Linked DNA regions of Astyanax mexicanus. The protein of the gene in region 1 interacts with the protein of each later gene in a biochemical or structural test. Links are inferred from orthologs where the notes say so. Each region holds a gene or a part of one and is shown on either strand. Other genes may lie near its edges.

Evidence for each region.
Region 2: the proteins of cryabb (region 1) and cryba1a form a complex in vitro, tested with the Homo sapiens proteins (2 studies listed by BioGRID and IntAct, with this or other methods). The link is inferred for Astyanax mexicanus from reciprocal best matches to the Homo sapiens genes CRYAB and CRYBA1.
Region 3: the proteins of cryabb (region 1) and cs form a complex in vitro, tested with the Homo sapiens proteins (3 studies listed by BioGRID). The link is inferred for Astyanax mexicanus from reciprocal best matches to the Homo sapiens genes CRYAB and CS.

Annotation. Positions count from the first base shown.
Region 1 is NC_064408.1:26,482,756-26,493,021, reverse strand, and holds the start of cryabb (crystallin, alpha B, b), read right to left. Parts: upstream 4,092-10,266; 5' UTR 3,878-4,091; coding exon 3,686-3,877; intron 2,806-3,685; coding exon 2,683-2,805; intron 2,019-2,682; coding exon 1,815-2,018; 3' UTR 1-1,814. Other genes in the region: hspb2 (heat shock protein beta-2), read left to right, coding at 5,251-5,344, 8,713-9,128. UniProt on the Homo sapiens protein: May contribute to the transparency and refractive index of the lens. Has chaperone-like activity, preventing aggregation of various proteins under a wide range of stress conditions.
Region 2 is NC_064425.1:25,251,933-25,262,767, reverse strand, and holds cryba1a (crystallin, beta A1a), read left to right. Parts: upstream 1-5,782; 5' UTR 5,783-5,868; intron 5,869-6,474; 5' UTR 6,475-6,502; coding exon 6,503-6,541; intron 6,542-6,655; coding exon 6,656-6,774; intron 6,775-7,054; coding exon 7,055-7,196; intron 7,197-7,836; coding exon 7,837-7,979; intron 7,980-8,277; coding exon 8,278-8,425; 3' UTR 8,426-8,778; downstream 8,779-10,835. Other genes in the region: crybb1l3 (crystallin, beta B1, like 3), read right to left, coding at 128-296, 421-563, 2,394-2,526, 2,686-2,804, 2,918-2,983. UniProt on the Homo sapiens protein: Crystallins are the dominant structural components of the vertebrate eye lens.
Region 3 is NC_064420.1:6,229,449-6,240,094, reverse strand, and holds the start of cs (citrate synthase, mitochondrial), read right to left. Parts: upstream 4,384-10,646; 5' UTR 4,234-4,383; coding exon 4,183-4,233; intron 1-4,182. UniProt on the Homo sapiens protein: Key enzyme of the Krebs tricarboxylic acid cycle which catalyzes the synthesis of citrate from acetyl coenzyme A and oxaloacetate.

The DNA.
Region 1 (10,266 bases):
AGGGTCTCTTATACAAATATGGTTCTTTAGGGAAGTAAAAAAGGGTTCTTCTATGAGAGTGGTGTGGCTTTTTTCGTTTTCATTTCAGACAAGCAGAAGCACATTATCAGTTCCTGAAAAAACTCATGAGTTTATTAATTGTGCTGCTGGTTGGTTAGAATGAAAATCTGAGAGTGGAATAGACTATACATCACTGTTCTATGGTATTAGTTAAAGAACCTTGTAGAATGTTTAAAAGCAGTTTTAACCCCAGGACAATGTAAAAGACCAATCCTAACCAAGAACACATGAAACAGCTACTTGTGTGTCCCCCTCACTTGTGCCTTTTAGTTGATATAATAACTGTGGTCCACATTTACCTTTGCACAAAGAAAGTGTTTCCAAAAGTGTATTACGTTGTGTGCCTTGTTACAACATCACATCATTTCTTATTGAAGCAGCTTTCTCAATAATATTTTTGCAGACAATCTGCCCTGTAAAAACTAATTTCAACAAGTTAATGCCTTGTATGTGTGAGAATCCCGGGAGGTAAGGGAGAGGTGGGATGTCTGCTTTTGGGAGCATTGCTGTAAAAATAGATGGCTATTATAGATAGTAAACAACCTCCAATCTCTTTTTTATTGTTTGCAAAATGTAGTATTATATATTTTATGTAGAATATGAGCAAATACTTGATTGAAACACATTAAAATATGTGAAAAAGTCAGCAGACACATTCTTTAGGAAATCCAAACACCTCTGAATAATTTTTAACTAATTATAATCTCTTCCACCAAATTCCCACATCCCCATTTTTTTTCTATCTGCACTCCAAGGTCTATTGCTCCAAACCCTGACTGCATTTCTCAGCTGTAGGCTGTATAAGAAGAGCCCTTCACTTATGACAGGCTTTTATGACAAAGTGGCTGAGAAATGGAGCCAATCTAGACTTTGGAACGCAGCTTTTCAATATCAAACCAAACCTCATCATATTTGATTCACTGCTCCATTTATAACAAGATGTTTCCAGACGCCATATATCAATCCATCCAAACCAATGAAAAGTCATGTCTACAGAATCCCACAGAAACTACCAAAAAAAAGAGGTCACTTTCTTTCTATAACATTTCTCCTCACCTTGTTGCTACCTGCACTTGATCTTCATGTATCATCTGGTCCCAAGTCCATCATGAAAAGGAAGTACCAAATTACGAAACATACTCATTTTTCCTCGGCACACCACCTCCCACTTCACATGAAACGTTTGAAACCAAACAAACAACATTTTTTACCTCAGTGAAAATTCCCTCACAGTGTTCTTCCTCGTAGGCTAATTTCTTTTCACCGCTTGATCACAAAAATGCTCAAACATCCAGTCTTCCTACACTCAATCCCTCACCATTCTCTACTCCGTGCCACCATTGTTTGCCACTGACTGGCTGTAAAAGACAAAGAGCACTTTTGTTTGGCGTGGTTGTGGTTGGGATTGCTGAAGCAAAATGTGTTTTGCGTCCAGCGGCTGAGCGGCACAAACAATACTCCTGTGGTGTAATGATGTACATATCTCTGAGGACACGGTTTTGATGTGCCAACCGAATTAGACAATTCAGTGATCACTATTTAGCACAGAAACATGTGCTAGAACAGTTACTAGCTAGCTCAGAAATGAGCCCTTTGATTAGGACTAGCCTCTGGAAAGGCCAAGCCTCTAGAAGGTTCAGCTCAATGCTAGCACTGGCTTTTCCTCAAAGCTTGACTTGGGATGTGAAGGTGGAAGATAAGTGCAGGGGGACCACAGCGGAGGGGAGACAGAAAGGAGCAAGTATCTAGCAGCTTTACTTTTTCTGTGAGCCAGAGATAGCAGGCTTTTCTTCTCGAGTGATGGGAATGGAGCGCTCAGGCTCATCGGAGAGCTTGCGAGGGGCTGCAACCATGAGGATGCCATCTGAAGAGAGTGAAGAGGTGATACTGGCTGGGTCGACCCCGAGAGGGAGCCGGTATTTTCGTAGGAACTCTCGTGAGACAAACCCATGGTCATCCTGGAGAAAAAGATATACATTTACAGGCATTAAACAATGAATACTGACTGAAATATGATATTAGAGCAGTGTTAGCCAGACAAAACGCTTACATCAGAAGGTCAATGCTTGTAATAAGAGTGGACCAACTTGACAAAAAGGTTTGTTGGAGAAAAATTGAGAAAAATACCCCTTCCTATACGTAATAATTACAATATTAACTTATCGTATAATGTATGGACATCTGTTTTTGTTTTATTTATGTTTTATTTATTCAAGATATTCTAATTTCATTTCTATTGTCTGAATCATTAACAATTTATTGTTCTTTAAATGGGTTTAATTGCATTATTGTGCTATTCTATCATTATTCTAATCAGTGACATAAAATAGTCATAGAATTACAATAATATTGTTAATTGCACTTCATGGGACAGTATGTTGTCTAATAAAATCTCTTATCTTGACAGGCATACTTTTTTTATGTTTTTCTTGTTTAACCATATTCGATCAATCTAAACTGGTCTAAAATCTATTTAAATTATATTCAATGAATTACATCAAAATAATTAAATTGAATTAAATCTAATTAATTAAATCCAATTAAGTTAAAATTATTAACCAAATTCTGCAAGACAGGGGTACTCCATAACCAGAGTTAGAAACCACTGCTGTTTGTATTTACCTGACGATCCTCGTGTTTAGCATGAACCTCAATGTAACCGCCGTTGACCTTAACTGCCAATTCCTCAGGTGCAAAGTGTTTTACATCCAAATTGATGGTAAAACGGTCCTTTTCCATTTTCATCTATAAAAGACAGCACAAAACATGAATGTGTTTTGATTTCCAGTATTCAGTTTTATGTAGCTTAAGTGCTCCCTTCCAATTTTAAAACACAGTTTACATAATCATGATTACATGATTTGCTAGAAATAACAAGACATTGTTTAGAACTTAACATTATAATATTGTATGGCAGGGTTATTCTGTATGTGGACTACTGTTGTTTTTATTGTGGATATAGTACAAAATAAAAAAATATATAAACTTTTTGTATGCAAAAAACTGTTATCTGTTTTCTTTTCTTGCTCTTTAGTGACAGAGATGGAAAGGACTTCTATTACAGGGAAATCACTGAGCCTTCCAGCAGCAACATGTGCTCATCACCAAACATATTGATAAAATGGCATCTTTAAAATTGCTTCTTGCAAGGAAAAGTTGACAATGAACACCCTTTAAACTTGCCTGAGAAAAGCACAAAATAATTGTGCTTAATTTATTGTAATCAAGGCCACTGTAAGAGGAGTAATATGAGGTGACAACAAAACTACTCACAGAACACACATTTATATTGCTCATTTGTCCTGCATGGTCCTTCAGAGCAGTGGGAATGTTGTAAGATACACATTTTAATTTTCCTGTTGTAGGGTTTCTTAAGCTGTCTTCTAGATTAATGGTAATTCACCTCCAGGCAGGGAGCTCAGAATCCACAAAAGCAACCTTCTCAAATAACTTTTCCTTATTAGTCCCTGTGTCATTTATTAAGAGAACACCACTGGCAACACCGTTCTCCAGTATGGGGTTCTCCAGCCGAGGTTACCCTTTTGCCGTACATTACGTAGATTTATAGAGTTATAGAGTTATAGAATGTACCATGGAGAAATACACAGATGTCAGAGCTGCTTACCTCTGATAGCCCACTTTCCACCCAACTAGGTAAGCGGAAGAAAGAGGGTCGTGGGTAATACAATGAGGGGTAGGGGGTCAACATCTCACTCTCTGGGATATGCTCCCCGAAATGCTGGTCGAAGATCCGGCTGGGGAAGAAGGATGGCCAGAAAGAGCGGCGGAACCAGGGATGCTGGATGGCGACGTCCATTTCGTCTTCTGACCTAAGGCTAGCGTTGTCCTCCTGGAGAAAAACCTGTTGTCTGCCCAGCCTGCCCACTTATATACACCACCAGTAGCAGTCACAGAGCCAGGCCCAGCCAGCTGCGGATCTTTCTGGAACAATGATGTAAACTGTTTGATGGCCCCCCTTTCGTTGCGTCCCTCCCACTCTCCTCTGCAAGCTGTCTCATCCCTCTCTACCAGATACCTCTCTCCGTATTTATCTAAACCGGTGGTGTGATTTCATTCAGGCAGATGCCGGCCGGATTACAGGGCTTGCTCTGAATACCCATTTGGAAACTTTGCCATACAGAATCTAATGGGAGGTGCTGAGTGTAGCCTTTGGTTTTTTGGCTTTTCTGGCACAAAAACTGTGGACCAAGCAGCCTAGCTGTGTGCCAGAGCAGATTATCATGTTCATGTCCTGATTTGGCTTTATGTAGTTTGAGGTCTGAACCCCCTTTGAGGGTCTTTTGTCTTCGGCAGAACACCGGGCGCGAGGCCAGTTTGTTCGGTGGGCTGATGGTGAATGGTTGTGGGATCATTCTGCAGGGTTGAGCACCATACAGAGTCAATGTGCTTGCAAAGAAGCATTTCCCTGGTGCCCGCCAGCCTCAGCGGGCTTAGTCAAACTGGCACAAGCACCCGGCACAGTGCCACTTACGCAGTCGGCATAGCAGCACAGTCCGTCATCAGTCATCTCCTACCCACTCTGGCCTACCCACTCTCAGTGGCTGGTAATGATTGTGACCGGCAGTGTCTGGCTAGAATTGTCTATGTGTACATACACGCGTCTCTGGTAGAAACCCATTCAATGCAGGAGACCTACACACATATACTACAGGGCAGGGCAGGAGTCTTTAGCTTTCATGGTACATTAAACTAGTTATTGTTCCATGACTTATTGTATATTCTATTGAATATTATGCAGAATTCTAGATATGCACCGACATAACATTGACAGTACCCTTGGGTATTTAACTGACTTCCTGACCTTTTCACTTTTATGTGTATATGTGGCTGCCCCAAGTTGACAACTCATCCATTAACTCCAATGAGTCTCAGAACAGCTGCTAATTTACTTTCCTTTAGAAGAAAGCCAACCACTCTGAATAAAGAGACCCAAAACACTGCCCAGAATTATATCACTCAGTGTGTCTCCCCCTTTAGGCTATGCAACACCAGCGTGTGTGTGCGCCACAGGCTATTTCTGGACCCGTTTATTACCAAGGTCCAGGCACTAGGGCACAGACTTGCTGCCTCTCTTTTCTCTGTACTCTCCATTACAATCCTGCCTGTTTGTTGTACCTGAAAGGACTGCTACATTTTCACCAGCACTGGACACCCGGCCCATGCTTTAGCATGGCTGACCGCACCGTTCCCCATGCTTACCCCATGAGTATGAACTATGAGATGTGTACTCCTGCACGGATTTATGACCAGAACTTTGCAGAAGGTAAGAGAATCTTCAATCAAAAGTCAAGCTCACTTGTATTCAGATTGCTATGCTATTTGGAGGGAAGATAAAAGCTGCCAGCAACAATACATGATTGCAAATTAAGACGTGGATTAAGATGTGGGAAGTATTTATTGAGCTACACATATTGAAGTAGTGTGTAATGCATGTGTAATGTGTAAACAAGCCAGACGTCTCCTAACAGTCTCCTGCAATAAACTATTCCATGCAGCTTAAATTTTAACAATATTTCAACAAATTTTGCAGAAGAGGTGGAGTTTATAGCATGTTCAATAGAATTCCACACATTTTTAATCAAGGATAGGTCTGGTGTTGTGTTTTTTTTTTTTGGAAATCTCTTAAAATGGCAGTAGAATATGAATGAGCATTGTTCTGTTGAACCGCAGGGTGCATTCTGAAAAGGTATTGGCCACTGGTTGAAGGACGTTATTAATGTAACCCTGGGCATTTAAAACTGACTGTAGAGGTGTTCTGGTGACACCAGGCCCTATAGATGTGCAACACATGACAGCAAACTGTTGATCTTGGCACTTTCCACACATACGTTGGTTATCTCCATCCTTCAGCCTGTCACAACTACCCGCCAAATTTTCTTCCTGTCAGTTAATTCCTTCTGGGCGCAACTATGATAAGTGTCTTATAAATCCAGATAAATTGCTTCAAGGTGTTCTATCAATGGCATTATTTTTCATTCACAAGATATGGGCTACTCAATAATATCTTTAAACCAACAACAGCTGAAGAAAAAGTTTCTCTTTCATTTTGAATAAGAAAAAATTTTACTTTTTTAAACTGCATGAACTGCCCTACTTCTTCAACAGCAGACTTGTGATATCAGAGGATGAAGTTAACATGAGTTGTTTAATTGCCAATGAACCTGCACTAGAAGGGCCAACTGAAGTGATGACTGCCTGATCCACTATCCCCCATGACAGCTTTTTATACTGGAGGGAAATATAAGGCCCAGGCTAGGATTTATATTTAGAATACCACACATGACAAAGAGTCCAAGGCTACCACACAAAAATAACTGTCATCCACTGCTGGACTGAATATGAACCAATATCTCATATCCAGCACTGAGCAACCACAGTGTGTGTCATTAATGGTAGTATATATACATGAAGATAAGGGCGCAGTATATGATCAAAATAAAAACATGACGCTTGACCTGCGCTGCTGACACTGTTTGTAATTAGACCTGATGTAAGAGTTTCTGGTGTTTTATAGAGGGGAGGGACGTTCTATTTTTATGGTACTGTCAGGCAAACTCTATGAGGAAGTGAACTCAGTTAGTAGATTAACAAAAATCTAGATATGCACAATGATATCAGAAGAAGAATTATGTATTGCTTAAAACTGCTTTAAATGTTATGTCCACACCAGAGAGATGTTTAGACGTAACTGATATTTTAAAATTATATTGATCAGCATTTGAACAACTTAACTGCATTTGTAACACTACACAATTCAGTTGGGACAGTATACAGAATGCAAATAATAATAAAACACTGTGTTTCTTACATTTACAATTTTAATTGCATTACAATATGAACTGCTCAACTTCATTTCATGTATTAATGTACAGCTCTGGAAACAAATTAAGAGACAACTTCAGTTTTTTAAATCAGTTTCTCTGATTTTGCTATTAATAGGTTTATGTATGAGTAAAATGAACATTGTTTTATTCTATAAACTATGGACAACATTTCTCCCAAATTCCAATGAAAAATTATGTCATTTAGAGCATTTATTTGCAGAAAATGAGAAATGGCTGAAATAACAACAAAAATGCAGAGCTTTCAGACCTCAAATAATGCAAATAAAACAAGTTCATATTCAGAGTTTAGAAATCAATGTTTGGTGGAATAACCCTAGTTTTTTAATCACAGTTTTCATGCATCTTGGCATAACTTGGATAACTTTATGCCACTCCTGGTGCAAAAATTCAAGCAGTTCAGCTTGGTTTGATGGCTTCATCCATCTTTCTCTTGATTATATTCCAGAGGTTTTCAATTTGGTAAAATCAAAGAAACTCATCATTTTTAAGTGGTCTCATATTTTTTTCCAGAGCTGTACATCTATTTCTGTGTTTTAGTCCTGTAACACATTCCACAGAAGTTGCGACATTAAGACATTTACCGCTTTGCAACATTGCCATTCCTTCTCACAATATTTAAAAGACGTTTTGGCACTGGGCATAGCAAGCAATTAAATGGCATTATTTTGGTTAATTCTTGTTGCAACAATATCTTAAGACGTCTAACAGTAAATGGTCATCATTTTTGCATTTTTCTTTTAATTTTTTTTCTCACATTTTGTATTGTGGTCAAGGCAGTCCAGCACGATACCCTCTTATTCTGCACCCATGCCTTTGTTATGTGTGCAGCATAAGGTTTTGCATTGTCATGCAATGCATGGATGTCCCTTGGTATGTGTCGCAGGCCTGAAATGCAGGAATGGGTGTATATTAACAAATTAAATAAATATGACTACAGTGAAATAAATGCAAAGTAAAGAAAACTTTCTTGTTTTATAAGCATTTCCCATACTGTGAGAACTTTTGCCTGATCTGATGATGTAGTAGGAAAATCAGAATACTGTTCTGATTAGGGGTGTGACATATTGTATCGTAGACAATAATATTGCTAATATTTTTGAATATGGTGAACGATATTATACCCTGAAATATCATGCCATATTACCCACTCCTAATTATGACATCAAGGTGCTACTTTTTGCTGTTTTTAACAAAAGGACAATTCACACTGTTCTCATTTTCCATTATATATCTACTAGAGACAGATTATATCTGTCCAGTATCATTTATTTTACTTTAATCCTGCATATATGGAGATATTAGGAGTGCATTTTTAGTATCATGACATTCTGAATCATTGACTTCTTTTACAAATCTGATAAAATTCTTGTATTTTTTATATCTCAGTTATGGGTGTGCCATATAATAATGTATGCAATAGTAATATTTCATTTTCATTTTGTTGCAGTAATGTATTCTAGAATAGTGTATTCTTTTAATTTATTGTTTTGTCTTTTCGCCAAGAGTATCGTTATCACAAACAAAAAAAAAAACATGAAATACCGTAATATTATTTTAGGGCCATATCACCCAACCCTAGTTCTGCTAATGTCAAAATTCACAAACAAGCCTTTACCTGCTAAACCCTACACATACACACATGCATGCAGAATCTACTTGCAGAATATGGTAATGCATTTGAAAAACAGCAGGACTGACATAAAGAATTGAACACAAATGGAGCTGCTGGCTTTTACTTTCACTGCTAACCCTATCCCCTCTGTTGACCTCACCCCCCTATCCCCAGCCCTGTCCCCTCAGGACCTGATGGCCCCAGTTTTGTACCATGGTTACTACATCCGGCCTCGCATCAACAAGCAGCTAGAAAGGGGCTTCTCCCAAGTAAACAGCGACGATGACTGGTACCGCATTCAGCTGGACGTCTGCCACTTCACTCCAGATGAGCTCAATGTACGAACAGTGGACAACCTGCTGGAGGTCACCGGCCGCCACGCGCAAAGAATGGATGACCACGGCTTTGTGAGCCGAGAGTTCACGCGTACCTACATCCTTCCCATGGGCGTGGACCCACTTCTGCTCCAGGTCTCCCTTTCACATGATGGGATACTGTGTATTCAGGCACCAAGGAAGCTTGAAGATTTGGAGCCTAAGATTAATCAGCTCAAGATCAAAATGGACAAGAAAGGAGAGAATAGCAGCTAAAATGGCTTATTATAGATAAAGATATTTTTGCTTAAGGAAGTAACATTGGTTTTAGGTGAGGAACAAAGGTAATAACCAACCTACTGTACCTGATCTCATATCTCCGCTCACTTCCTCAAACAGCTTTGCCTTGGGAAAGTCCATGCAGTGGCAAAGAGTTACCACTTTACAATGGCAATATCTGTCTGAATTTAGCCCAATTGTTTTATTTGTGAAATCCTCTGTCTCTCTCACTAACATCAGTGGATTAAAGGTCATATCAGGGTCTATTTTTTTTGGGCTGTTGCTGCAAGAACACTAAGAAATGTCAGCAATGAAAAAGAACATTTGGTACAGTGCCACAGTTCTATATGTAATCTGTTGCACTTTTATTTTCTGATTCACTTTAATGAAATATGCCTTTATAGTTAATTTACTCCTTTAATATAGTAAAACCCCTCTCTTTGCATATCTCATATTAGGAAGACAGATAGCAGGGACAGCCATACTTTAGGACCACTGCAACAAGGTTAAGGCCTTACTCAAGGGGCCAAGAATGTCATCTTAGTGGACCTGGTTATTAAACTCTATAATCAATAACTTTAACATCTCTGACCATATTAAAAACACATATGTTGCATATGTTGAAATATGTTGCAAGTATTATTTGTAACAGCCAACAACCAAAACCAGTGTGATAATACATGCTATACCTTTATCATTTCAAATGTATGTGTTAGTGCTTTTGAACAAATAAGCACTTACTGCTCAGATGCATTGCTTTTGCAAAGCATTTTAGTATCTCCTGACTCCTGGAGATACCAGTTTTTGTTAAGAGCAACTAGGAACTTGGAAAAGCATTAAATATCTTTTTGATATTACTAATAAACTCTAGACTCTTATAGACTCTTATTTTTTGATATCTTCTTTTATGCATCACACATCACTATCATTCTGATGAATGTCATCAAATGACTGTATATCACTGATTGTGAATAACCTCTGATCTTTATTTCTTGGTTATACAATATACAATAGCTGTTCATGTGATCTGCTGTCAGCCTACCACACCCTGTTTAACCCTGCAGTATAGTCCCAAGCAGAAGTGGCAAAAGGAAGTGGGTAACTGAATCGTAGAGAGTAACTAATGCAAAGCATG
Region 2 (10,835 bases), on another chromosome or scaffold:
ATAGAGCTGTCTGCCACAGTAGCCGCGCTCTGTTCTGAATGGCTCTGCAGATGCCAAGAGATGAATTGAGATGATTTGTTCACACAGAGCCTCTTCTTGCGCCATACGTCAGTCCCTGCCGTGTCCATTATGCAATCATATCAAAGCAGCCTCGGCGATGTGTCTGCATGTCCCTCACTCGACGGAGAGACTGGATCTGGGGGTGGTTGGCACCCCAATCGTTCCAGTGCTTGAAGGGGCCAAACTCGAACAGGTACTGGTATCCTCGATAGCCGGGATACTGGTACCCAACCCACCTACATAGAATAAAATTCCATTTGGAAGTGCATTCATGAAAAAGAACTCTGTACGATGATATATACTGTAGCTTATTATTCACAGTGGTCATTGCTTATTTACATGATACAGACAGTGACTCACGTTCCGCCGGTGACTTGAATGCTAGCTACTCTGTCTTGGAAGCCATAAGACCACAGGCTGGGGATGTCTTCATCGCAGACCTCCATCTTACGGCCGTCAAAGTTCATACACTCAAATAGACAGATCTTATGATCTTGTGGGTCCTACAAGGACAGTGAAAAAGACCTGAAGTCATTTTTATTAAAATTATACATAATGTATATGATCAGATAATTATTTAACCTTACCTGTATGTGATAAGTTTTTAAAAGATTTAAAGAGTTTAAAAGTTCCTATCATTGATCAATCTTAAAACAATGTCACGTTCACTTTGCTTAAAACACCATTATATAGCAAATTTACCATATACAGCTCTGAAAGAAACGTTAAGAGACTACTTCAGTTTCTGAATCAGTTTCTTTGATTTTGCTATTTATATATGTTTGAGTAAAATGAACATTGTTGTTTTATTCTATGAACTACAAACAACATTTCTCCCAAATTCTACCTAAAAGTATTGTCATTTAGAGCAAATGGAAATGGCTGAAATACCAAAAAAGATGCTGAGCTTTCAGACCTTAAATAATGCAAAGAAAACAAGGTCATATTCATAAACATTTAACATTTAAAAATCAATATTAGGTGGAATAACCCTGGTTTTTAATTACAGTTTTCATGCATCTTGGCATGGTCTCCTCCACCAGTCTTACACACTACTTTTGGATAAATTTATGCCACTCCTGGTGCAATAATTTAAGCAGTTCAGCTTGGTTTGATGGCTTGTGATAATTATCCTCTTGATTACATTCCAGAGATCTCTATTTGGTAAAATCAAAGAAACTCATCAATTTTATGTGGTCTCTTATTTTTCCAGAGCTGTAGCCATGGTACATGAAAAGTAAAGTCAGAAAAGACATCAAAGACAACCACATCAGCCCAATGAAAAACAAGAATCTCCATTTTTTTTTAGATGTTTAGTTTACTACTTATTTGAACACAAAAGCTGTCCCTTAAATTGTGCCAAAATTTCTTAATGAATAGACCAGAAGACATACTCCAAAAGTACTCTAAATTAACACTTTTTACATTGACTTCCATTAGGAAGGTTTTATTTCTCTCTTATAAAGGAACTGTTTTGGAGATACATGTTAGTTTTTCATTGGACAATGACATGCTTTTTCAATTTAGATACTGCTAGATTTCTTCTAATCTAGACTTTCTAGATTAGATTTGAAAAGTAAGTGTAAAAAGTGTCCATCAGGAGCAGTTCAGAGCTCTATTTACACTTCCTAAAAGCCTAAGAAATAGTAAGAAATATTCATAAATGAGGATTATAACAGTTATCTATACTCTGGCTCTAATACTTAGGAGGCCATAGCCTAGATAAACTCAAGCAAGATAGGACAAACTTTACAAAACAAAGGCAAAAACCCTTTCCAGCTATTGTTAGAAGAGGTGGCAAATTCAAGTAAAAAGAAAAGGCCAGCTTTAGTTAGTTTAAATCAGAAGGAGAACTGTATATTTTGAAATACAATGATGGGGAGTATGTTTACATTTTGGATCTCTGCTAATAAGAATCTACTATTGAACATTTTTGGTAAGAGTGATAGTTTTTACTTTATTGATTCAACTTTGTTAAATAACTTTACTCTAAAACTAAAGCTGAAATCATGGTAACGTTAATGTTTGCCCAAAAATCAATCTAAATACATTTTGTCATTTTGATTTTGTGAAAATGCTTTTAGACAGAAATGTACAACTACAAGGCAATTTTGGGTGTCTAACTAACTAACTAACTAACTAACTAACTAACTAGCTAGATAGCTAACTAGCTAGCTAGCTTGCTAGCTAACAAGCTAAATAACCATAACTGGCTAGCTAGCTAAATTACTAAGTAACTAATTAACAAAATGTGGTGATAAATTAAACAATAGCACTAATTTCCTAATCTAATAATGTGCTAAAGCATCACCCGCTCATTCTCTTTCACCCACCATGCGAATTGGCCTGACGGACATGAAGCAATCGCAGCGGTAGCTGTTGGACCAGGTGTCCCAGCGAGGGTACTCTCCTCTCTCCAAAATAAACATCTCACCGCACATGTTCTGCTGCTCATAACCCACCCAGCTATGGATGAACAGAAAAACACAATACATGTTTACACATAAAACACTGAAGATAAGGGTACTAATATAAATATATCACTGTATAAGGAGGAGTCGCTGCAGGAAAGCTACAGCCTAGTTGTCTTATAGTGTTTATGTATATCAGTTACTAAACACATACGGTCCACATTCCACTCTGATGGAGCGGACGCGACAGAGGCCCTTCTCACAGATATTGCGACACTCCCCGCTTATCTCCATCCTGCGACCTTGGAAGTTCTCGCACTCGAACAGACATATCTGCTCACACACAGGAGAGTGATCAGAATTAATGAAACATGGTGCAATCCAGTGGTAATGGGGTTTTGAAGTAAACAGAGGGAAATCATTCTTCCACAAAAGTTTGGACCTACTTTGTGGCTGCTCATCCCCATGGCAGAATGGCTCCCGACACTACCCTGCACAGCAGTATGAGACATGGCTGAAGCTGCAAGCATAGACACAGAGAGAGAGTGAGATTAAAAGGTTAAACATATCACCCTCCTATCTCATGCCTTAACCACCCAAATTCACTCAACACCAACTCTCATCAACCACTAATATAACACCAGAAAACAATAGAATAATCTTGATGTCGCTAGTCATCGCCAAAAAAATCATCCTCATGAACTGGAAAACAAAAAAATAACGTTAATCACTGGAAAAATCTATTAACAAACTATCTCCCTGTGGACACACACTCAGAGCCCACCAAAACACAGATTCAGACCCAATTTGGACACATTTAAATAAAACATTACAGTAAATCACATAATCCAACACAAGATAAAGTTTAGTAAAATCATTAGGTAAAATTGCACATAAGTTCATATACATATATATCTTTATTTTTTTTCTCCTATCTCCTTCTGTACCCACTAACTAGCACTCCTATCACTCTCCTATAACTACAACCCCCTCCCCCACAACCCCCTCCCCCCCCTTCGAGGAAGGTATGAACTGATACATACCTCCTACGATACTTCAAAGTCTATATATATATTTTTTTTAGCTCTGATACATCAGCCAACAGACGACTGTGCAGGCCAGCATCACAATTTGAATGATGGGAGAGAGCACCATCTAGTTACCCAGAGAGATCATGACGAGTTGTGCTCTCCAAGTAAGCGGCTTGTCCCAGTATTTGAACATAGTATTAGCATATAGCAATATGAGCAATAGAAGATGAAGAAATTATCTTGCATCTGAATTACCAAATGTTTGGCATTATTAGACCACATTAGGCCACCAATTGGCTTTGCTTGGCCACGTTAAACCACCAATCAAAACTACAAACAATGTGAAATAAATATATTTGGAAAACCTTAGATACAACAGTGGGTTAGCATATAACAGCTTTTCCCTGAATTTATTTAACGCATTTTCCATTATCAGTCCTCTGTTTCCCTTATGCCTGTGCAACAAAACAACACATTGCCATATAAGCTTCAAACAAGCCATATAAGTTTTCTCCTCCAAATGATCAGCCCAAAGGAGCGTAGGAAGAAACCTCATCCTGAATACTACAGTCCAAACACAGTTAATCCCATGTCTTATACAGTATGCGTCTCATGTCATGAAGGGGTGTCCTCTTTGTGCTTTAATTTGGTCCCTTCCCTCAGAATCTCCCATCCATCCATCCATCCATCCATCCATCCATCCACCCACTTACCCTCCCACCCACCCACATCCTGAATCTCACCAAAATGCTGCAGTCAGGCACAGAGCAATGGAATGTATGAGGAGTGCTGGCAGAGGAAAAGATGGCAAGGCCCAAATGAAGTGGCTGGTCCGGCCTTTGGAAGGCTTCTATATATACATATATATCCCAGCTGAGCTATTAGGCCTGCACGCTGCCATGCTATTGGATAAAAGTGATGGGAATTTGGGGAGGGCGTGGAGAGCGAGCTTATCTCTGTGGCCTTGCTGACTCTGCTGGTCGCTTTGTTCCACAACTCTGCTGGACACCCACCTCCATCAGCAGAAAGCCTCCCTCCATTTCTCTCTCTCTCTATCTCGTTCTCTCTCTCTCTCTTTCTCTCTCTCTCTCTCTCTCTCTCTCTCTCACTGTAGCACTGATAGCAATGTGCTGACCTCAGTAGGCTAGTCACAGTTCACTCCACTGGGCTCAGCTCAGTGGGATGCTTCAGTGTTGTTGTTGTTGTGTGTATGTTGGTGGACTTGAAAATACCTGCAGCTGTTTTGATGAGTTCACTTTCTATGATCTTGTGCAAAACAGGAACGTCAAGCCTGAATAGTATTACCGTAATGAGTTGGCCTAATGTAGCAAGCATCCACCTATATATACCATATAGTAAAAGTAGCACTATATAGTAAAAGTTAGCAACTTTAAGCCTAAACTGCATTAAAATATGCTCACTTAAAACACGATTTGACACTTTCAACACATTTGACACTTTCAAAACTGTCTAATATATGATTAATAATAATGATAATAATAAAAATATACGGATGCCACTTACCCTTCATGATCAATTAACTGTCCAAATGAATCATCTTTAGATTTAAAGGAATTATTTGCATCTCACTTTTCTTTCACCTAGTCAGACTCCTCCTCATGTTCCACCTAGCCCCGTCCAGCTGCCTGCTTTGCATACAGTCAAAGGAGTGGGCAGGACATGGATGTTGAATAGCTGCACACGTAAGGGTCTATGTGTGTGTGTGTGTGTGCATGCATGTGTGCATGTGTGTGAGTACCGGTATGTAAAGGCTGGAGGTCAGTTGAGGCACTAGTCGTGTGTGAGGTTAGAGAGCTGTGAGCACCGGCCCGCTGCTCTGTGAACCAGTGCTCTGTGGTTTGGTTGTATAGTATGTTCTTGTTAGAGGCTTTGTTAAAGTAGACTATACTTTATATCAAATGTATTTATATTGATTTTTTATTTTTATTTCTATGCTCTAATTTTTTTAGATTTAGATTTACTTAAAACACTCTGAAGGAGGAAAGTCTGGCAGTTGCTATCTAGTTAGCATCGCCCCCATCCGTGTGTTTTTCGCCTGACCACCACCAGAAACCCGTCATGTGTAAAAAAAAAAGTATGTATGGAAGCCGTCAGCCTGGCACGCAGCCTGGTGCCAGCACGCAGTGGGCACCGTGCCCTCCTTACAGTTGGTATTGTGGACTGGGTAAAGCCAGTGGCTCAGGAACGAACAATGAGGCCTGGAGCAAAGTGCTGACTGCTGCCCAGCCTGTGGCCTAGCTCCCTATTCACCCAAGCCATGTATAAATAGAGCCCTCAGCAAGAGGTCAGGAGACCGTTGTGTGGAGCCCCCCTGAACGCACACAGCTATTTGTTGGGTAGGTCAGGTAAGCCATGCATCTCGGTCCTTTCAGCCGCTTTCCTTTTAGCTCTTTTTTTCCGCTGATCTGCAAAAATCTGCACAACACAGTGGCCCAAAACAAACAGAACAGAACAGGCAGACATGCATGGACACTTTTAATATTTTTAATATTTGAGAGACATGTATGGACACTTTACCTACATGCAAAACAATGCAACTCAATGCATCTCAAGAATAGAAGTATTATAGCAAAACTTTAGATATGCAATCTGCCAAGAACAAAAACAAAAAAACCCAGCTGATTAATTATAATGCACATTATTACATTACATGCACCAACTATTTTTATTATTTTTATTATTTCATTAAGACCTACAAAATGCATGATTTAGATTAAAATAGAAAAAAATGTTAATGACTTTTGTAAAATGTAGACTGAAGGATCAACACTAATATGGGATAAAAGATTGGGGCAATATAGTAAATACATGCTTTTGCTTTATATCTTTATATTCTTTGGAACTTCGGGACTTGTGACATCTGAATGCATCAATGCATAGCAGTTCTCTTTAAATATACAGTATATATATAGTATATAGTATACTCTTCTGTGCTCTTGTGTGTTTTTCAGGTCAAGCAGCACTAAGAAAATTGCAAGAATGGCTTTGACTAATCCCATGCCAATGGGACCATGGAAGGTGAGTGGGCAAGAGGCACAAACATACATAATGCATAAAGAACAAATTGCAATGACCGATCCAATCCAATGTACTCAAACTTCTTAAAACCTGCTGCCATGTTTCCACATGTAGATCACAGTATATGACCAGGAGAACTTCCAGGGCAAGCGCATGGAGTTCACCTCATCCTGCCAGAACATCATGGAGTGTGGAGTGGATAATATCCGCTCCCTGAAGGTGGAGTGTGGAGCGTAAGTCATGCCTTCTGACACCAATATGTAGTCATATTAGAGCTTCAAAATATACAGTATAGCCTATAAATCAGTATGTTTGTCAGCATGTTTACAGTAATAAAGATGGTCTAGATAAGTGCTATGTGGATTTAGATAATATACAAAACCAGGCCTTTCAATGATCCAATACAATATAATCGCAAAATTATTTCTTTATATTACATTGATGTTTTTTAGCATTTAAAAAAACACTTTTTTTTAAGAATCCTGACCTAAGTGAACTTGTGTGTTTGGGCAGCTGGGTTGGTTATGAGCACTCCAGCTACTGTGGGCAGCAGTTTATCCTGGAGAGAGGAGACTACCCTCGCTGGGAATCGTGGAGTGGCAGCAATGCTTACCATATCGAGAGGCTGATGTCCTTCCGCCCAGTCTGCTGTGCTGTGAGTCTGAGTTTCTATTGCACATCCTGATAAACAAAGACAATAAATGATGAGTTTCTTTGATTTTACCTAATTGAAACTTCTGGAATATAATCAAGAGGAAGATAAATAATTACAAGCCATCAAACCAAGCTGCACCAGGAGTGGCATAAAGTTATCCACAAGCAGTGTGAAAGACTGGTGGAGAAGAACATGCCAAGATGCATGAAAACTATGATTAAAAACCAGGGTTATTCCACCTAATACTAATATCTCTTAACTTTCAATACTTTATGAATATGAACTTGTTTTATTTGCATTATTTAAGGTCTGTAAGCTCTGTATCTTTTTTGTTATTTCAGTCGTTTCTCATTTTCTGCAAATAAATTCTTTGAATGACAATATTTTTATTTGGAATTTGGGAGAAATGTTGTCTGTAGTTTATAGAATAAAGCAACAATTCATTTCATTTTACTCAAACAAATACCTATAAATAGCAAAATCAGATAAACTGATTCAGAGCTGAAGTGGTCACTTAATTTTTTTCCATAGCTGTATTTTCAATGTTTAATCTTTAATGACACTGCTACTTATCCCTCCAAAGCAGCTCGAAAGGTTGCAGACAACAGTGAGCTGACTGGGTTTGTGTTGATCTGTGCAGAACCATAAGGAGTCTAAGATTACCGTGTTTGAGCGGGAGAATTTCATTGGGCGGCAGTGGGAAATGTGCGATGACTACCCCTCACTTCAGGCCATGGGCTGGCCCAACAACGAGCTTGGATCCATGCAGGTTCAAAGTGGGGCGTGAGTATCATGAAACAACTCAATGCAACTACCAAAATACAACTGACAAAACAGTTTAACACAGTTTAAGACAGTGAGCTTTTGTTTTACAAAGATCCTGCACTGTATTTGTATTGATACACAGACAAAGATTGTGAATACAGTATGGGATATTTTACACAGATATTAATGTTGAGATTAACACCATACATATGAGCACTTTGAGAAAGTTGGGGCCAAAACAAAGGCCCCATTGCTTCTAGACCAAAACTATGATGTTATTGACCTCTTCTCTTCCATTTCTTCCTCTGTTATTCAGCTGGGTTTGCTACCAGTACCCTGGCTATCGTGGATACCAGTACATCCTGGAGTGTGACCGCCACGGCGGAGAGTACAAACACTACAGGGAGTGGGGCTCCCACGCTCAGACCTTCCAGGTGCAGTCTCTCCGCCGAGTGCAGCAGTAAGGACCGCTCCTCCTCCTCCTCCTCCTCCTTCTTCTCCTCCTCCCTCCCTCCCTCCTCCACCTCCACCTCCTCATCCTCTTCCAGCTCCTCTCCTCCACCCATCCACTACAACTGTGGCCAGCCCAGTTAGACTCCTCATGGCACAGGCTGAAGATCTGGTGCTACACAGCAATTGTTTACAGCACTTTTCTCTCCTCGTTTCCCCCCACAACAAAAGAAAGGAGGGAGCGAGAGAGCCCCCAGCAGGCAGAGGCTGTGAACGGGGCAGTGATGTGACTCAGGCTTTGCTCCTTATCATTGTCACAGTGCGATTTGTGCAAAAAGCGATCAATAAAGGGTACCAACAAAAAATCGCTGTGCTGTGTGAGAGTGCGTGGAATGCTTTCTTTTTGTTTGAAAAGCTGTTAAAGAAAAAATAAATATGAACAAATTGATGTTTGTAACTAATTTTGCAAAGTTAGAGAAAGATACATAAACTACAAAACCCTGTCTTAACCCAACATCAACCTGTAAGCAAGTGTGGATTTAAAAAAAAAAGAAGCAAAAAATAAATCTGAATAAGGGTGGATTTGTATCTTGTCATGTTGGAATGTTGTGTAATTGATTGATTCTTACCAGGGTCATCACTAGAGATTTATGAATAGGGGGGCTAAGGTAGAATTTGGGACAATTAAAAATTAAAAAAGGTGGCCGGCCAACGATGTGCTTAATGATAATTAACATCTAATTCCACCTATAGAGTCAGAGGTCGAAATGAACAAACCAGAGTATTTATATAAACCATATATTTATTTTTTAGCTCAAATCAAGTCAAATCATCTTTATATACAGCTCTGGAAAAAAAATAAGAGACCACTTCAGTTTCTAAATCAGTTTCTCTGATTTTGCTATTTATAGGAATATGTTTGAGTAAAATTAACATTGTTGTTTTATTCTATGAACTACAGAGAACAGTTCTCCCAAATTACAAATATAAATATTGTCATTTAGAGCATTTATTTGCAGAAAATGAGAAATGAGAAAAAAACAAAAAAGATGCAGAGCTTAAAGACCTCAAATAATGCAAAGAAAACAAGTTCATATTCATAAAGATTTAAGAGTTCAGAAATCAATATTTGGTGAAATAACCCTGGTTTTTAATGAACCTGGTTCTCCTCCACCAGTCTTACATACTGCTTTTGGATAACTTCATTGCACTCCTTCATGCTTGTGATCATACACCTTCCTCTTGATTATATTCCAGAGGTTTCCAATTTGGTAAAATCAAAGAAACTCATCATTTATAATTGGTCTCTTATTTTATTCCAGAGCTGTATATACATGTATGTGAGTGGTGGTTGGTTGTAGTAAGTGTGTGGGCTGATGATGAACATTACTACTATCACAAAATCATAATATTACATTATTTCAGACTTATTTTAAATGTAGCACAACACATAAGTCAACATAATATATATTATTATGTAAAACAGTAACAAAAGTCAATTTTACTCATTTGAAGGCTTGTTAAAACCAATGATTAATTCAGTATTTTATTTATTGTTGTGAGGAAATTGGTCCGTCATCAATATACATTATTGTAGGAGTAAAAATGTAACTGTCCACTCAAGCAGACACCAGGCATTAGTGGTTATGAATTTTCATTTTCGTTTTTGAGAGCTCTATGGATAAAATAGCATAAGATAATATCATATTATAGAATGTGTATATTATATAAATTAGAATGTATGTATCTTTTAATTTCGAATTTAAATAATTTATTATTGTATTTATGTTGTGGTTGAGTCTCATTTTAGCCTATAGTTAGACAATAAATTAATTTAGATAATGTAGTCTTACAGAAATGTTATAACAACGTTTGTTAAAAGCTATAATAGAGGGGATCTGCTACATACATTCAAAGTGTTGTTTTTTAAATTAATAATTTTAAAAAAATTATTGAATCGTCAAAAATTAAAAGTAACTTTTAGTACAAATCACAAGTTTGGACATTTTCTATTTATTGTAAATTTCATATTGAAGACATTAAAGCTATACAAAAACCATATTTAACAAACCAGAATATGTTTTATACTATAGATTCTTCTAACTTCCCACATTTAGATCTAATACTTCTTGGTTTCTCAGTGATTTTACTACATTTACTACATTAACTACATACTACATGTAGGAAAACAAATATATAAAGAAATAAAGACAAACACTGAGTAAAAAAACTTTTGACTGTAGGTGCTGGTACTAAACTCCTGGTTCTACTAAAAAGAACATTTCATTTAAATTTTTTAAATATTATTGGGCTGTCTTCAACAGTAGCCTGCTTATTTTAATTAAAATATTATTTATATACAGACATAATAATAATTTTAGATGTTTTAATTTGTTGTATGGGGAAATAAAGGAGACTTTTTTA
Region 3 (10,646 bases), on another chromosome or scaffold:
AATATTGGTAGATTTGTGTGTATTACTACAGCATAACTAAAGGGTTCCACATCATAACAATTATAAAAATTGTAACAATACATGTACAGCACAGACGAGCTTTAATAATTACAACAAATGGACTGAATAGGTATGTAGGTATGCACTGGTATGAGAGAAGGTAGGCACAGTGCCACATTCTTGAATACTGACCAGTAATCATACTGCAGTGCCCTGTAACCCTATACCCACTACCCAGCACCCACCACTGAAGTTAGGAGGCTCAACATGAACAGTCCTGAAAATAATCTAGAAATGATCCTCTGGTGCTATAGCACACTTCATACTAAGCCAAAGTACACCTGATCCAACTGATTAGTGCATGAACAAGCATTTCCTGTGTTTAAGGAAGTACTGGAGCAGGGAATTGACAAAACATGCAGGTGGAGGAGTAGGCCTGCAACTATAACCAGTTTTTACTGGACAATAAATATAATGCCGCAGAAACAACTAAAATAAATGATTGTCTTATATTAGTGTCATAAAATAATCTTAAAATGACAATGAGAGCATAACACATTCTCACATGCCTTTTTAAAGAGAAATTAACTTTTAAATTATTAAAAATAGTTAAGACAGATTGAAATTCTGTTTTGCTACATTCATGCATTTTTATTTGCTTAAACTACTAAAGACTCAGTCGCTCCTAACTGAGATTACACGGTAGCAGAGGGGTATTATGTAATAAGCCTGGCAGCTTCTGTTGACCTGTCTACATAGTAACTTTAAACCTTACGGCCTCATGACTGCATGCGAACTAAAACTGTGAGCCATGATCTCCACTTCAGTAGACAGAAAGCGCATTAATTAATGGTAAAACCTGACACAAATCTACTCTATATTAAAATATATTCAAATGTTTCAACTTTTGCACTCTTGTCTTCAGGCTGTATTATTATTTTTCTTCAAAATGCATGCCAAGACTGCAAAATAAAATCAATGCACCCTGGTTTTACAACAGCAAATTACATATTCAGTTACAGTGACCTTGAAGAAAAAAAACAGATAAAACAAGGTAAAAGGGTCTTAAACTGAATGGAAACTAGTGTAGTATGAATGTCTGTGCTCATATATATATATATGCAGGCCTCGTGATCAGTTGGCAAGGGTCACCTGCATTCTCAATGACCTTTGACTTACATTAGCTAAAAGAGCTGCAATCATACTGCACCATATTCAAAGGGAGGCAGCATGGTTTTCCAAAAGAAGGACATTCCACACACAGCTCACAGATGTACCACAAAGCTACAGGAGCAGATCGGGTGACTATTGTGGCAGGTTCAGGTGCAAGACCAGAAAGAGAGCACTGAGGTCAAACAAGGTCATTTAATAATAATAAAAAAGGAAAAAATAAAAGAAAATTCATTTAAACTGGAATCCCATAAGCAACAGTTACACAAATGTTATTAGAGATTCAGCAGATATACATTACAGTTACAAAAAAAAAAAAAAAAAATTACATAATTAGTTATATTACATTATAACCACTACTACTAACCAGACCAATTCTAGATCTGCAGAGTCATATGGAGAACATGTACCAATGAGCAATATGACAATATTTCCTTGTAAAAATGTCTTCAATTAAGCGACAATACACTTTTTTTTACTAAGTGTAAAGAACACTAACCAAATTGTAACACCAATTAGTCCTGTTTTACTGGTTAAACAGAAGGATATTTTAAATAAAAATCACCATCATGTACAATAGTAGGAGAGTATTTAAATACCAGTTTATAAAACGGTTGCTACTAATGCATTTGGATCACGATCACATGTAAAATGTCGATTTTAACAAATATAAAAAAAAATATTTTCTATATAAAGAATTATGAACATGAAATAAAATGTTGCCAAATTATACAAGGGCAGGCTGGGGAGTACAACAAAAGCAAGAGAAATTAGCATGAGAAGCAAACACATGATGTGTCATGCACTTCTCTATACTGTAATAATTCTTTACATAACGAGTGTGATATAGCACATGCTTCACACCCAGCAGACAGACGTATGGCTTCAGTTAACCATCAAAAAGTACAAAGATCACGTAGGAAGCACAGCAATAACCCTGATAAGGACAGAGTCACTCAAGGAGCAATCAGTCTGACAGCCAAACAGCTGTTCATCAAGGCCTAACTAAACTAGAACTCAGACAAGAAGCAAAGCAGGCCAACACAGCCGTGATAAGCAATGACCTCTTTAGGTCAAAATTGCTCTTTACAGCCTTGATGAGGAAAGGAACTACTTTGCACATTTTCTTTTACACACTTCGTACTGTATATGCTTTCGGTGTTGATTAATGTTAAAAGAAGAAAGGCACATGATTCAGGACTTTAAACACTCCCTTTGAGAACAAAGAAATTGCTTCCTTTTTAAAAGGTAGTTTAAGGACTTTAAGTGAAGGGCATTATCAAATAGCTTAGTCCCAGAGTAAATATAATGTAAAGTAAAGCTACAGCAAGTGGTTTGGACTATATAATCATGGAAAAATACACTGTCAGAACCCATATGCTGGTTCATGGTATGTATACCATGCCTTAGCTTTTACTATCTACCACTTTGCTACTCACACAATAGCAAAAAGTAGCAAAAAGGCTGAAATTTTATTCAGCTCACTGAAACCTGACAACATATACGAGTCTGATGACAAGAATTGTGTTTCGGCAATGAATGAGACTAGAAGTTCACATTGTGTCTATAAATAAAGTCTACTGTATTCAATGGCCAGACATGTAATGAATCAAGTCTAGGTTCACATGCTCACCAATGTTTCGGCCAAACAAAAATATTGGAAGGGAAAAACTGAAGGTCATAAACTGTTGTCCTCTTCAATATTATAACAGTTAATATCTGAACTAGCAAGCTGAAATGTATTACAAGAAAAATCTAAGCTTGCATTGTTTTTAGCTTCTTTGTAGGTCTCTTGACCCCACTTTGTTTTTAAAACCTCTACATATATTTTTTGTTTAATCTGATAATCTTTATTGGTATTCTTAATTTAGCTATTTTTCCTTAAACGTCTTTATCTCGCTCTCTCTTTGTTGTAAATGCTTGGCTACATTAAAATAAAAATAAGGGTCACCCTCAAAATACCTGAGTGAAACTGATATCCATACCAGACAGGTTATATTGCATTTTAAACATTTGAGTAATTTTAGTGATTAATTATTCATTCAGCAAAGGAGGAAGGAAATGATAGCCAAATGCTTATTATTAGAAAGCTGATAATAGCAGCTTAACTTATTTAAACAGAATGGTCACCACTGTCAACCATACTGACAGCTCTCTTTCTCACGGTCACCTTATTATTACACGTTAATTAATTAGAACTATAACTAGGTTAGCTAGTTGTGTGGCTACAGGCCAAAGAAACACATTAGTTGGCTAATATAGTTAGCTTGAACTAAGCTAAGCTAACCTAGATATGTGTTACATTCTAGCTAGTCAGCTAACGCTAGCTTTCCAACAGCAAACTCTCTTACTCACAGCAAAACCTTGTAAAAAAACCTTCAGATAAATAGCTAGATGTTTATTTATTTATCTAGGTTACTTAGTTGACGTGTGCCAGTAATGTAAAATGATATTTTCCTGAGCTAAGCAAGGCGGTTAACTAACACAGTCTCGCCGTTAGCTTCCTAACCTACTTCAGTAACGTTAGCTGTCTATGTAGCTGCTAACCGCTAATATTAGCTTAGCTAGCTTAGCTTGTGTTAAATAAATGTGAAAGCCTCAGAGGACAACTAGCCTTGTTAGTTACCCAGCTACCCAGGTCACTAACGTTGGACACAGAAAAGACGATAAAATAGCCGCAGAAACATACGTTTAACCTTATTATTAGCGTTAAAGTGGTTTAAAGAAATGTAGAGGAGAGAAGAGGTTTAGCTAACTAAACAGATCCTTCCATAAAGAACTAACTAAGCGGCTGTGACGTATCCAGGTCCATAGAATGAGAATCCACTCCAGGATTTTGAATTTACAAGTCTTGTCTGTAGTGTTAGCTTGTTCATGCCCAGCAGCACTGGTTCAGCAGTTGGAGCAAAATCCTGGAGTGGATTCTCACTGTCTGGATCTGGACTATGCCATTTCGCTACTCTGCCCACCGGCCTGTTCCCGGAGAACCTCGGATAAGTTGTGAAATCTCACCTTGGAGCTGAGCAGCCTCGGCGCCAGCCTGCTGATAGTGAGGAAGGACATGTTAGCGGTCTGTGTTTATAAATATAAGTGGTTGGTAGTAGAGGATCCGCTGCCTGTGCGCCGCGGAGCTGGCTGAAGGTGCCCCTCTGATACGGTGGCCGCAGTGAAGGTTGAAGAAGGGACTCGGGCCCAAATGTAGCAGCCGCACTGTGGAGCGAGCGGGGCCTGATGAGGTGGAAACGACGATGTGCAACGCTATTGGTCAGGCCGGTGTTCAGCATAACCTGATTGGTGAGTATCGGTCTCGCAGTTTCATGCAATTGGTAACGTCCGAAATAGCGCAACTGTGCTTTTTTATTATAGCAGTTCTGTAAGAAACGCCTGAGGAAAAAGAAACATGGGTGCGTCCGAAACCTATGACACACTATGGGTGTCTGGAACGCGAGAGATGTTGACTTGATGCCTTGCCTCCCACACTTCCCAGGTATGCATAATTGAGTTTAAAATACTTCTGTAGAAGTTGAAGTATCAACTCAAGCTTTGTATTTTAGTAAAAGTGTAAAAGTGGTTTCAAAACTACTCAAAGTGTAAAAAGTTAAAGTAATGTAAGGGGAAATGTAATTAAGGCATTTAGCAAAAGCACCATGTTGGATTATTGACTTCTTTTACAATCTGGTGGAAATCTTAATTAGACGTCTGCCATATCATATTGAATGCAATAATAAATACATTAAACATTTTGTTACAGTAGTGTATTTTTGATATTACTTTTTTAAATTAAATGTTTTGGCATATCACCAAGAATATCACAAAAATACCTTAAAATATTGTGATATTATTTAAAGGCCATATTGCCTTATGGTTCACTACTAGATATGAGCGTTAGATGTGTGGTCAGTAAATGTTAGCATTTTAGCCCCCAAAAAAACAGAAGGGTATCGTACTAAAATTAAATGAAGACATGACCAGGTGCCTTCCTTCTTTAGAATCTAGCATTTTTTACATTTCAGGCATTTTCCGATTATTTTCTTGGGATTCAGTAACTTAATTTAATGTTTTTTTGGAGTTTTTTTGGAGTGTGTCTGCCTTATTTGGAACTTATTTATGGCTTTGCCAGTTGTCAGTGTTGATAAATGTCTAAAATTAGCATCTTTCTTTTAGACCAAAAACACTGGTTGCTAACAGGGTCAATAAACAAGGTGTTCATGTATATCTTGAATAATCATTCTGACTTGTGAAAAAGCATCAGATTTACACAGCCTAACCACAAATTAGCCAGTTTAGTTTATCTTAGCCATGGCTTTCTGTTGAGTACTACTAATCGATACGTGCTATTTAGTGGTTCTGTGCCACATAGCTATGCTAAGCTTCTTTCTTTCTTTCCTTGTACTCATTCAGTTCACACTTAAATACAGTTTGTCAGTGAGTCAGTAAGTGAAAATGGTTTTAGTCTAGTCCGGCAACAATTTGTCTGTAGCAGTGTTTCTCAATACTGGTCCTGGGGTCACCCTGTACTGTACATTTACTGGATATCTTATTTAACATACCCTTGTTTGAAATGGCTTATAAACAAGCTAATTAATTTAATCTGGTGGTATTGAAACTGTACAGGTATTGTTTTAAAAACAATGTTTATAATCACAGTACCTTGAAATTAAGTCACAGTAAGTCGATAAAGTAACAAACGAATATGTAAGATAGGGAAATAGATTGCAACATTGCATTTCCACAGAATTAATTTTGCAATCTGTTCCCCTATCCTACTTATTTTTACTTGTTTTTACCTTAATGACTCATTGTGATTTAATTTGAAGATGGCAGCTCCCAGAAAACTACCTGAAGGTACACTGTGTATAAACAGTGTTTTTTAATAAACTACCTTTCTCTACCGTTCTCAATGCCTCGTTTTAAAATGCCAGGACCCTTGGAATTCTACCAATGAAGTGTGGAGCTACTTTGAGCTGGTTAATAGTGTAAATATATATATATATATATATATATATATATATATATATATATATATATATATATATATATATATATATATAGAATATTTGTATAGAAAACCATTATGAAGTGTTCACTCTGTCTCAAATCACTCCCTCTCCCCTATGTAGTACATTTGCACTTTGTTAAATAGCAGCATCTCCATCCAAACAGTAATTTGTTTTTAATAATGATGAACTTCTGCAGTTCTAAGTCATTCAATGATAACCTATAGTGACACCATTATAGTCTTTACTGATTTTGACATGGTCTTTGTAATGGTCTTTGTGCATGTAGTCCATCACTAACAGGATGAATCATGGAGCACATCACTGCTCATTAAATGTCCACAGTCCGCCTTTCTCTTTCCACTACCACCAACAATATGCTAGGTTTAGGATTTAAGGGCAAAGTTTAAGATTAGCTCTAACCCTAACAATAATCTTATGATAAACTCCAACTGTGTGAATTACTTTTTCGCACTTCTCTAAGATACAGTACACTTTCAAAGGAATGTGTTTTGGATGCAGCCAATTGTGGTCTTGCAAAACTAGTCTTGCCTAGTCTTGTTTAGGTGAATGGTGAAACTAGAATGGATATGTTTGTGCTTTTGCTTTTGTCTGGTTTAGCAATTTGATATATGGTGTAAAATGGGTTTTGAGAAAGATTTTATGTTCCTTAAATTAAGATATTATTTCTAGCTCACATATTGGCAGCTAACTGAGTTTATCCTTGCCTGTGTTGCATCTAGCTTTCTCAATGGACATTTTTATAAATGACTCTTGGGCTGCCTAAGGCATCCTACATCACATTTATGCACAGATGTTGCGGCTGGGCCTGTAGATCCTGCTCTACACTTGTAGGTTGCTAAAACTGCTGTCCCAGCTGCTCCCATAAACGCTCGCCATTAGTTAGATTTTGCAAATTGGCAAGCCAAGGAAATGTTGCAATATAGTGGAGACATTCCTGTCAGTTGGAGACCCTGTCAAGAGAGGCAACACGTGTGGCGATAGGAGGTCCTGCACATATTGCTGAATTGTTGGTGTCCCTCGTATCACTACTAGGGGTTACTCACTGTCATATGCGATGATAATCAGATCATCACACCAGCAATTGGGGCTGTCAATTGGTGTCACTCCACAACAAAGGCAGGATTGAAGCGCTCACTATGAAGCCTCCATACTAAAACAAGGCTGTTACTGAAATCCAAACATAACCTGGATTTGTCTAATGTGTAGAGGGTTTCTGGACTGCTAATGGTAGCTGGCTAAAGGATGGCCTAAAGGGCAGGGAATTTGTTAAAATTACCATCTTGCTTCTCTTAGTCTAATGATGCACCCTTTTAAAATCTGTCAATCAATTCAGAAAAACTTTAAAGATCTTTCACCAAGAGGTAAACTACCCAAAATTAGCCTCTGAGTGCATATTTATAAGGCAGCCAGTGTGCATCAATTTCTTTTGTCAATTAATGTACTTGCTAAAACAGCATAACAAACAATATCAATACAAGAGACACAATAGATATTGTGAATATTTCTAAGGTATCTGTTGCTTATTAGGAACATGAGCAATATTTAATATACTCACCACACTGTACACAAATATGACACTTTATTGGAAAAGGGTCCTTAAAAACACACATCAAGGCTGAAGGACACTTACCCCAAACAAACTTCATGCAGCCTATCAATTTGCATGTCTCTCCTAATACATTTTTCACATTGGATTTTCCTGTATCAATGACATGGCAGCATTCGGATGCATGTCATTCTTATTCTTGAGTGCATGACAAAGTACATTTTATATCAGAAATTCACACAGTCACAATAAAAAAAGTATTGCACAATTAACAAATAAGAATAGTTTTACTTAGAAGACAAGACAGGATGGAAAGAAAGATGGGTAGATTGTGACAATCCAATCGTATTTAAGTCTCATTGTGGAAATTATAAAAAAACACTAGGAATGACCACATTAAAAGCGAACCTAATAGGTCACCAGTGGTCAATTATACCTGTTTTGGGACCACATATTTACTTAAGGCAATTTTTACTGAATGGCATTTTATTGCATTTTATTATTTCAGATAAATGCATTTTTGGCCTCCCACAATAAGTATGTTATCCACTGTTATCCATGTTATTTTATATTTGTCCATGGACTTAGTAATCTTTCTTGCCTTAATATTAGCCGATGTGTTACTAACTGAGAAGAGCCCATTAACATGAATATGCCAGTATTTTTATTTACTTTAAAGTGACTTTCTGCAAGTTTTGGGAATGTACCGACCTCTCTGGTGAGAGTGTGTAATTACAGAATACACGTGGAAGCATATTTTAATGCAGGTTAATGTAATACATTTCTGTATGAAATTCTGCTTTTAGTATAATATTTGGTCATTTTGTTTATTTATGAAAAACTTTCAGAATCTATAAACCATTTACATCCAACAAACCTACCAGACAACTCAGTTCACATTTTTATCACTGTTTTTAGAATGAATATATTAGATTTCAGGTATATTAATGCCAGGACACTGATGCCATTTTCAGATACCAAAATAAATTCACTCTCCCATCTCTAACTCACCATCTTCTAAAACAGGGTTTTTATTTATTTTGCTGGATTTGTCCAAATTTAATGTCAGAATATTCTTAATAATTAAAACTTTACTGAGTTGAAAAAATGGTCTAATTTTTGTGCTACTACTGTATTCTGTCATTATAATAATGGTATAAAATGGTGTTAACATATCAATAATATAATTTATGGCCATGTACAACTAAAACCTGGACTTCCTCACACACTAAATCACAAGACTTATTCACCAACCGTTTTTAAAGTTTAATAAAATGTTTTATTGGGAATTGGGATTTGTTCAGTTAGTGAGTTGGATAATGGATAATGGGATTATTATAAGAACAGAAGTTTGAAATACGCTGTGCTTTAAAAATGACAAATAAAAACTGACATTTACTATAGATGAATAAAATAAACACGTAAAAAAGGAAAAATTGATACATAAAACATAAGGAATTTTTATCTTATGAAGAAAAAAATAATTAGATCAATAAAATAATACAACTATTTAAAATGAATAAAAAATAATTTATATAAAATAAAAACAAACAAACAAAAAAAGAATAATATCAGTTTCAGTTTCAGTTTCAAATCAGTAAAACAGCTCACCAAAACCTCAACCTGTCCAAATATTGGACAATAATTGATTAACTTTACAGGCCCTCACTCATTTTCATTTATTTAACTAAACTGAGTTTTATATTCTTATATTATTATATTATTATATTCAGCCTCGCGCTGAATTCAGCTCCGCGCTGCCGGAGAGAGCGCCCGCGCCCGCGCCAGAGAGAGAGAGAGAGAGAGACAGAGAGAGCGCCCGCGCGCGCGTCAGAGAGAGAGAGAGACAGAGAGAGCGCAGCGCAGCGCGGCGAATTTTGCTTACCCTAGACTATATATAGTATTAAAATGAAACCCCTTAAAATCAAGAGGGCTTCGCGACCCATCGTGGATCTTTGGCGACCCATAGGTTGGGTCGCGACTCATAGGTTGGGAACCACTGTGTTAGATGGTATGGCAATAAAACACCTAAAAATTGTGGATTAGGCATGGTTTGCTTTAAAAATGTACTTTTATTCATTTTTTCTGAATTTTCTGTACTGAAGCAAAGCACTGCCACTGTTAACTGATGTACCCTTATTGTAAAGAGTTTTGAAGCCATTGTGATTTGTGTAGCCAAAGCTGTGTGTAGTGCAAAGAAATAGATTAAAATGTCATTTAATTACGTTTTTTTTTTTTGTTCTTGTTTAATCATGTCTACTGTTATTATTATTGTATGTGTATTTATTTTTGTTCTACTTCACTGAATACCTCACTAAGGTGTAAATGGTGCATTTGTGTGTTTGTCTTCCCTATTTTTCAAAAACAATAAAAATGTACTGTTCCAGACAAAAGTTTGGACACACCCCTTCTCATTTAATGTTTTTTTCTTTCATTTTATTATTTAATTCACTCTAGACACTGTAGATTTTGAAGACATCAAAACTATGAAGGAACACATATGCAATTTTAAAGTAAAGCTTAATTATGTTTTATAATAATTATGTTTTATACTTTTATATATAATTATGTTTTATACTTTATATTCTTCAAAGTAACACCTTTTTGATGCCAACTTTGCTCACTCTTGGCTGATTCTTTCAGTCGGCTTCATGAGGGTTGGATTTTTGTGTGCTTGTAAAATGAATACAGTGTAGAAAGTTCTACAAAAAAACAAATATTACCAAAGGATTCGTTAAGGACATATTTAAGTAAATCCTAGGTACTGGTGAGTAAAGCCCATTGTTATGTGAATTTAAAATGCAAATTAGTCATCAAATTCTTAGCACAAATATGGTCCCAAAAGAGGTTTACCTACTGGATGCATCTCTTGTACACTGTGGGCCCTAATTTAGCGATCTATAGTCATC